Linked DNA regions of Oryctolagus cuniculus. The protein of the gene in region 2 binds, or shares a complex with, the protein of the main gene of each other region. Links are inferred from orthologs where the notes say so. Each region holds a gene or a part of one and is shown on either strand. Other genes may lie near its edges. The genes, in order: ARMC8 and RANBP9.

The links.
Region 1: the proteins of RANBP9 (region 2) and ARMC8 are in contact, whole or in part, in a cryo-EM structure (PDB 7NSC), measured with the Homo sapiens proteins. The link is inferred for Oryctolagus cuniculus from reciprocal best matches to the Homo sapiens genes RANBP9 and ARMC8. Residues at the interface, in NP_005484.2 of Homo sapiens: Tyr271, Gly298, His299, Ser300, Leu301, Gly302, Ile303, Asp337, Asp340, Tyr341, Arg343, Glu344, Thr347; in NP_001350870.1 of Homo sapiens: Gln245, Arg246, Asp247, Val277, Leu278, Lys279, Ile317, Ile320, Thr321, Asp322, His323.

Annotation. Positions count from the first base shown.
Region 1 is NC_091435.1:143,475,513-143,479,318, forward strand, and holds part of ARMC8 (armadillo repeat-containing protein 8), read right to left. Parts: intron 2,917-3,806; coding exon 2,841-2,916; intron 2,747-2,840; coding exon 2,656-2,746; intron 261-2,655; coding exon 200-260; intron 1-199. UniProt on the Homo sapiens protein: Component of the CTLH E3 ubiquitin-protein ligase complex that selectively accepts ubiquitin from UBE2H and mediates ubiquitination and subsequent proteasomal degradation of the transcription factor HBP1.
Region 2 is NC_091436.1:156,925,094-156,928,999, forward strand, and holds the start of RANBP9 (ran-binding protein 9), read left to right. Parts: upstream 1-1,339; 5' UTR 1,340-1,660; coding exon 1,661-2,246; intron 2,247-3,906. UniProt on the Homo sapiens protein: May act as scaffolding protein, and as adapter protein to couple membrane receptors to intracellular signaling pathways. Acts as a mediator of cell spreading and actin cytoskeleton rearrangement.

The DNA.
Region 1 (3,806 bases), on a different chromosome or scaffold from region 2:
GTGATAAGAAACAAATCATTTTGCTTTACTATTGAAAAACACATCGAAAATTAACTTTTAAAAACTGTAAAGCAAGCACATTTTATGCCATGTACACATCTATAATGATAAATACATAAAAAGTGAGAATGCTATTATACATACTCAATACTTATAGAACTGTAATTCCCATGTTTCCAGGGAGACTTCATTAGCTTACCTTTAACACAATACAGCTGTCATCTGTCCGAATTGCTCCTGCTCTACACATGTAAGTTAAACTGGAATAAGATGGCAAAAAGTAAGTTTTACCTTTGGCTTTAAAGTTTTAAAAAGAAAAATTATTTGCCTTTGAGATTTTATGAAAAATAAAACACAAAAAAACAAGTACTATCATTTTTTAAAAAAGATTTATTTATTAATTTGAAAGTCAGTTACAGAGAGAGAGGGAGAGAGAATCTTGATCTGCTGGTACACTCCCAAGATGGTCCCTATGGCCAGCACTAGACCAGGCTGAAGCCAGGAGCTTCTTTCAGGTCTCCCACTTGGGTAGCAGGGGCCAAAACAGTTCCATCCTCTGCTGCTTTTCCCAGGCCATTATCAGGGAGCTGGATCAGAAACGGAGCAGCTGGACAGACTGGCACTCACATGGTTTGCTGGTGTCGTATGCAGCAGCGTCACCCACTGTGTCACAATGTTGGTCCCTACTACCATGTATCTTGAGAGACATTTTGACCTTCCTTTACCTGAGGTTCAATTTAATAACTGAAGCAAAACCACACACATATAGATAGTAAGCCAGATACTAAAAACAAACAAAAAAACCTACCAAATTGTTTTAAAAATAGACGGCCTAATAAGTGCAGACATTTTGAAACTGTGCTAAGTACATGTGAGTTATGTTTTTCTCTGTTATTTTGTTTTAAATTTTCTATAATAAAAGAGGAGGAAATATTAAAAAGTTAACAAAACATCTCAGTTTATAAATGAAGTTGAGATAGTCTAACTCCAATACAGTAGAAGTAGCACAAAAGACCCACTTAACTTGTAACACAACTATTCATCAAAAACTAATTATTCTGGAATGGGTATTTAGCCTATTGGTTAAGATACTCATAAGTGCCTAAGTTTGATGCCAGTCTCTGACTCATGACGTCAGTTTTCTACTAATGCAGACCCTGAGAGGCAGTGATCATGGCTCAAATAACTGGGTTCCTGACACCCACATGGAAGACCTGGATTGACTTCTCTGGCTCCTGGCTTTAGGCCCTGCCTTGGGCATTATGGGTATTTGGGAAATAAACCAGTAGAAGGCAGTCCCAGGGCAAAAAGTAAAACATTCTATGTTTGGCTTTTAGAGAAAACTATACACAAATCAGGAAAATTCTTTTATACTTATTTTGTAGAAGGTTGAAATCTTTGTAGCTGTTACTTTTCATGAGTAATTCACTGAAAATCCTAATTCTCTATTAAAGAGCCACAGCTTCACTTAGCATAGAACCATACATATGCTCAACATACCCGTAATTACCTCTATTGGTAATTGCAGAATGAACACACACTGGATGCTTACATGAGATAGGAATTATGCTAATTTTACACTATTATCATACAAAATATCACATATCTAAGATTCTGTTTGCTGTTCTTTTAAGAGATAAAAAAAGTCTCCTTCTCAGAAATCATCCCCCATGTCCCATTGGGGCCAACGCTGTGGCATATCAGGTAAAGCTACTGCCTGCAGTGCCAGAATCCCATATGGGTGCCGGTTAGAGTCCTGGCTGCTCCACTTCTAATCCAGCTCTCTGCTATGGCCTGGGAAAGCAGAAGAAGATGGCCCAAGTGCTTGGGCCCCTGCACCCACATGGGAGACCCGGAAGAAGCTCCTGGCTCCAGATCGGTGCAGCTCTGGCCATTGCAGCCATTTGGGGAATAAAGCAGGGGATAGAAGACCTCTCTTTATCTCTCTCTCTGCCTCTGCCTTTCAAATAAATTAATTAATTTTTAAAAAAATCACTCCCTGGTTATCATCTTTAATTAATTCTCTCTACATTTGTCTATATTTTCATTTTTGTGGTTTGATACTAGGATAATGTGCATTAATTGTATCTATTTCAATTTTGTATCATCTCAACTGAAATACAAAGACAGGGAAGGACATTAAAGTAATTTTCTGTAGATGGGTCTTCGATATATATGAGAGTTCCTGTCCTGCATACTATGAGTAATAAACTGAATGTTAAAAACTGACCTCTAAAGTGGCATTTGGCACAGTGGTTAAGACGCCACTTGAGATACCTGCATCCCAGTATTTGAGTGCCTGGGTTCTCTAGTCCTGGCTCTGCTTGATTCCTGCTACTGCACTCCCTGGAAGGCAGCAGGTGATGGCCCAAATACTTGGCTTCCTCTCCTCACACTAGAGATGTGGACTGAGTTCCAGGCCCCTGGCTTCCTCCACCTGGCTCAGTCCTGGGGAGTGAACCAGTGGACAGAAGATCTCTCTGCCTATCTCTGTTTCTCTGCCTTTCAAATAAAATTTTAAAAATGACTTTCATTTAGCAAAATGTGGCATGACTTTCAATTTTCAAAATCCCAAAGCAAGAGGGACTGAAACTGTCCAAAAATACTCTAAGAGATGGATAAAGCACTTTTCTCCCACATTGTCTTGACTTTTACCATTTTGCCGATGTGAGCTGCATCTCAATAGGCTTATCCCTCTGTAACATCTTCACAAAAATCTGTGGCAATAATTCTCCATCAACCAAAACTAGAAGCAAACAAACAAAAGGATTAAGAAACTTATTTAAATTCATAAAGTTCATAAATTAAATTTTATAGATGTACTGAAAGTTTCAGCCTACCATTCACCAGGGTCATCGATACCTGGGGGTTTTCAAAAGCTAAAACGGAGAAGCATTTCAGTGCTTGCATTCGAACCTGTAAAAATCAAAGAACAAATAGTGCATTTATTTTAATGGCTCAGAATCTAAACTCTTCTCCTGAAAAAATAACTATTTAAATCTGCTTAAAATACTAAAAGGAAGCCTCAAAGGAATGGCAATAATATTTGCATGATTTGAAGAGTACTGTGAAAGTCAGAATTAATTATAGAAAAATTAAAATCAATTTTGAAGTAATAGAACAATAATGAGGAAGCAGCAGCAATTAAAACTGAACTAGATAAGTCCCTAATCAAACCTGTAAGAACACTGTACAAAATACAGCGTTGTAAGACAAAGGGAACTTCAAAAAATTACCAAGAGCCTTTCAAGTGGGACATTGCTTCCTTCCTAATTACAAGACTGAAGGGAAGGCAAAACTAGAGCAGGTATATGAGATGGAGATGGGGACAAAAAAAAACAAGGCAGAGGAAACAATGTTACAACAAAAGTTTGAAAAGGACTAAATTAATTTACCAATAGAACACCTAGCAATTATGTTACCCTTTCTTAAAACTAGGTTACTGGTTTGGAATACTATCAAGGGCCTTGTTTCCTGATCACATAAACACATTTTATTGTTTGCAGGGGCTCCTATGAGAACTCTTATTTTTTATTCTTTCCATTCATTTTTTACCACATGATCTCATCCTCACTTCCAAAGCCAGAGTCTACAGGCACTGTTCTCATGTAGAACCTGGGGCTGGCAGGCACTCCCCAGACAAGCAGCAGGGGAGTGAAGCAGCACACTCCCTCTCCTGGGGAATGCTCTGCAGGACTGGCACAGACCACAGGCAGAAATGAGAGCATGTTAATGACACCATAGCGGTGGAACAATCCTAGCCGAAGAGCAGCGTTACCAGACACTGTCCCTTCTACAACTTGTAA
Region 2 (3,906 bases):
ACCTAGGACACAAACTGGCACCCATATGGGATGTCACCATTGCAGGCAGTGGCTTAGCTCCCTGAGTCACAATGCCAGGCTCGAGATTATTATTTTTTAAAGAAAAATGGGGTGGGACCGGTGCAGTGGCACAGCTGGTTAAAGCCCTGGCCTGAAGCGCTGGCATCTCATATGGGCGCCAGTTCGAGATCCGGCTGCTCCTCTTCCGATCCAGCTCTCTGCTGTGGCCTGGGAAAGCAGTAGAAGACGGCCCAAGTGCTTGGGCCCCTGCACCTGTGTGGGAGACCTGGAGAAGCCAGAGCTTCTGGCTCCTGGCTTCGGATCGGTGCAGCTCTGGCTGTTGCGGCCAATTGGGGAGTGAACCAGCGGATGGAAAACCTCTCTCTCTATAACTCTGCCTCTCTAATAAATAAATCTTAAAAAAGGATGTGTATACATCCGGTCTTTGTAAACATAAAGCCCACTTCTGCTAGCTAGGAGAGGGTAAGCCGAACACACGGAGGTAGTGACAACGCAACAGTAACACGGGTCGGGTCTGGCAGGTCGTGCGAATCAGCTGCTCGGACCAAGCGCTCTGCTGACCTCCGTAAACATTCCCTGGTTTTGAAACAGGGCGTACTTCTCTCCTAACCTAACAAAGCGAGCTGTTAGCGGGATGCACGAGTCTGTAAAACGTCTGACTGGTTCTAGAAGCCCTTCCTAAAGACTTAACATCCTAGCCCGGTGTTCCTACAGTTCTCGTCGCCGCTCCGTTAGCATTTCCGAAACAGCACCCAGTACTACTGTGAAGTCCACTTGGGGTGCTCGTCCAATTCCTCTCTCAAGCGGGACACTCGGCTTTCGGCAATGGTTTCCACCGCCCAGGTGATCCACGTCAAGGCCGTCTGAGCGCCGCGAAGCGTGGACAGCGGGCTGTGCCTCCGCGACCACGCCGCCCCCAGGGCTCGGAGCTCCGCACGACCGGCCCCGGGGCTCCCCGAGCGCTCCGGGGGCGCCCGCAGGCCGGGCTCGCGGCGGCCCCAGCGGGGCTCGATTGCTCTCGCCTGGGCGCAACGCCTCACGGCGGCCCGGAGGAGCCCCGCGGCGCGGAGGTGGGGCGACGACAACAAAAAGCAGCCCGGGGGGCGGAGACTGGCCGGCGGCGGCCGTGAGGCGGGGGCGGCAGGCCCGACGCGAGCGTCCCCGCAGGTCCCCGCGGCGTCGGGAGCCCCGCGCCCGCGCCGGCGAGCGGGCGCGGCCCAGGGGCCTTCGCCGCACGCAGCCGGGACCCCGCGGCCCGCCCCCCGCGCCTCCGGCCCGCCCCCTCGCCTGGCGCCGCCCGCGCGCAGCGTCTCGCGCCGGCCCGCCGGGAAACAGCCGCGAGAGCTTGCGGTGCGGCGGCCGCCAGCGCGCCCGCGACCGCCCGCGTCCGCCCGCGTCGGCCCCCCGCGCGCCTGGGGTGCTCCGGCCAACGTTCTCTCGGGGCCTGCCCGGGCCCGCCGCCCACTCCCGCGGCCCCCCAACCGCCGCGCTCTCCCCGGGCGCGCGCGGCCCCTCCGCCTGCTTCCGGGGCGGGCGGACTCGGCGCCTGGTGCCGGCGGCCGCAGCGACAGCGCCCCCGGCCAGCGGAGGAGGAAGGAGAGAAGAGGTGGAGGTGGCCGCAGGCTGAGTCGCGGCCGGGATGTCCGGGCAGCCGCCGCCGCCGCCGCCGCCGCCGCAGCCGCCACAACAACAGCAGCAGCTGCCGCCGCCGCCGCCTGCGGCCGTGGCCCCGGTCTCCGGAGTCGTCCTGCCCGCGCCCCCGGCCGTCGGCGCCGGCTCCTCTCCGGCAGGCTCGCCCGGCGGCGGCAGCAGCGGCGGCGGCGGCTTGGGGGCCGCGGCAGCCGCGCTGCTCCTCCACCCGCCGCCGCCGCCGCCGCCGCCGCCCCCGGCCACCGCGGCCCCGCCGCCGCCGCCGCCGCCCCCCGCCGCCGCCGCCGCCGCCGCCGCCTCGGCAGCCGCCCCCGCCAGCGCGCCCCCGGCGCCCCCGGGCCTCTCGGCGGGGCCCGGCCCGGCCCCGGGCCTGGCGGCGGGCAGCAGCGCCGCGGCCCCCTTCCCGCACGGAGACTCGGCCCTGAACGAGCAGGAGAAGGAGCTGCAGCGGCGGCTGAAGCGCCTTTACCCGGCGGTGGACGAGCAGGAGACGCCGCTGCCGCGGTCCTGGAGCCCGAAGGACAAGTTCAGCTACATCGGCCTCTCGCAGAACAACCTGCGGGTGCACTACAAAGGTACTGGGCGTGTGTCCTGCGGTGGGGGAGCGGGGGCGCTGACCCGACGTGTCCGGCCGCCGCCCGCGACGCTCGCGACCCGGGCCCTGGGCGGTGACCCGGCGCAGGGGTCGCGGGGCCGCGGCCGGGGGACAGGGGGAGCGCGCTGCCCCGGGGCGGGGGAGCCGGGATGACAGGACGGCGCGGCGAGGTCGGTCCTGGGCTCGGGCTGGGTTACATTGTTCTCCAGGTGGTGGCTCGGGCGTGCTTTTTTCTTCCGGAGAGGAGGAGAGGCAGGCCTTGGGGGAGGAGTAGGCGGTGGAGGGTTTGGGCCCGCAGTGAGGCCAGGGACTGTCTGCGGGGGGACAAAAGGACGAGGGGCCCAGGTTTGCCAGCCCCGTCTCCCGCTGAAAGCCGGTGGGAGGCTGCGCTTGCTAGGGGAGCAGAAACCTGTCACTCCTGCTCCGAGATGCCCTGTGTTTCCGGGTTGGTGTTGCGTGAAGTCTTGCGGAAAAGCGAGCGGTTTAAAACCAGTGTCATTCAGTAGCTTAAAGGAAAGTGGATTATATTTTACACCTGCAGTGGAAAAAAAAAAAAAAGCAACCAACCTTAGCCTGGTGGTGCCCCCCCCCCCCCATCTTCTCCTAGGGCGTGCAACAAAGCTTTAAGCAAATCAGTTGCCTATGAAATTAGAAATTGCCATGGGAATTTTTGAAATGTAGCCCAGGTTGTCAGTAGCATGCATCGAAGTTTGCTTGTGTGGAATGAAAAGATCCATCTCGCGTAGCAGGCGGTCTGGAAACAGATGCAGTGTTTTAGGCCCCAAACCCGAGGCCGGAGCTTTGGCGTCCAGAGCAGCCTCATTTTGATTGGCTACAAAGGGAGGGTCTTACCCAGCGCCCAGTGCGTGGCCTCTCCGCAGAGGTATAAACAACTTTGTGGCTGAATTCTCAAAAGTATACAGGCACGAAATTGGTGGAGAACCTTGATACATGAGTTACTGTTTATTCGGAAGGGACAGTGGCAGCAGAAACCGAGCAGAGGGTTTGGCCGCGGGGAGCCAGGCGCAGGAACAGGCCTCCTTGGCATTCCTTTGTATCCAGAGCAGGGCTTTCCGTTCCTAACGCGATGCTCCTGGAGGCTGGACGTTTGGGAACACGGCGTCTTTGTCTCGTCAGTTCCCTTGCGAAGTGATGCTTCTGTTCTCAGATCCGGGTGGACCGCCCGGTGTTCTGAAGTGTTTGCGCGTGATCTGGCTGCCAGCAGGCTTTTGTTGGACTTGACAGGACTTTCCCCCTGAAGTTTGCCAGCTGCGCGTTTGAAAGGTGGCGAGCACTGGGAGAACCCCAGCCTCCCTGCAGGGCCGTTGCACGTGTGTTCCTGGGAGCAGAGAGGGAGTTGGCTGGGTGGTGGGTAAGGAAATTCCCAGCCCTGGATTTCCAGGGCACCTACGAGGCGTGATTACAGGTTGTTGAGCGCCGCGCACGCTTTGAGTTGTGTAAACAGAACATTGATGATGTGGGGCAGTGGAGAGCGCGTGTTTCTGTGAAATTGGTTGGAGTTTGGATTATTGATGATGCGGCTGTCTCAGCTGTCCTGATGGCTTCTTCATTGCTTTCTGTTGTGTGAGACTTAGATTCACTTTGGAAACGTCACTCTTTCATAAACTGTAAACCATTCT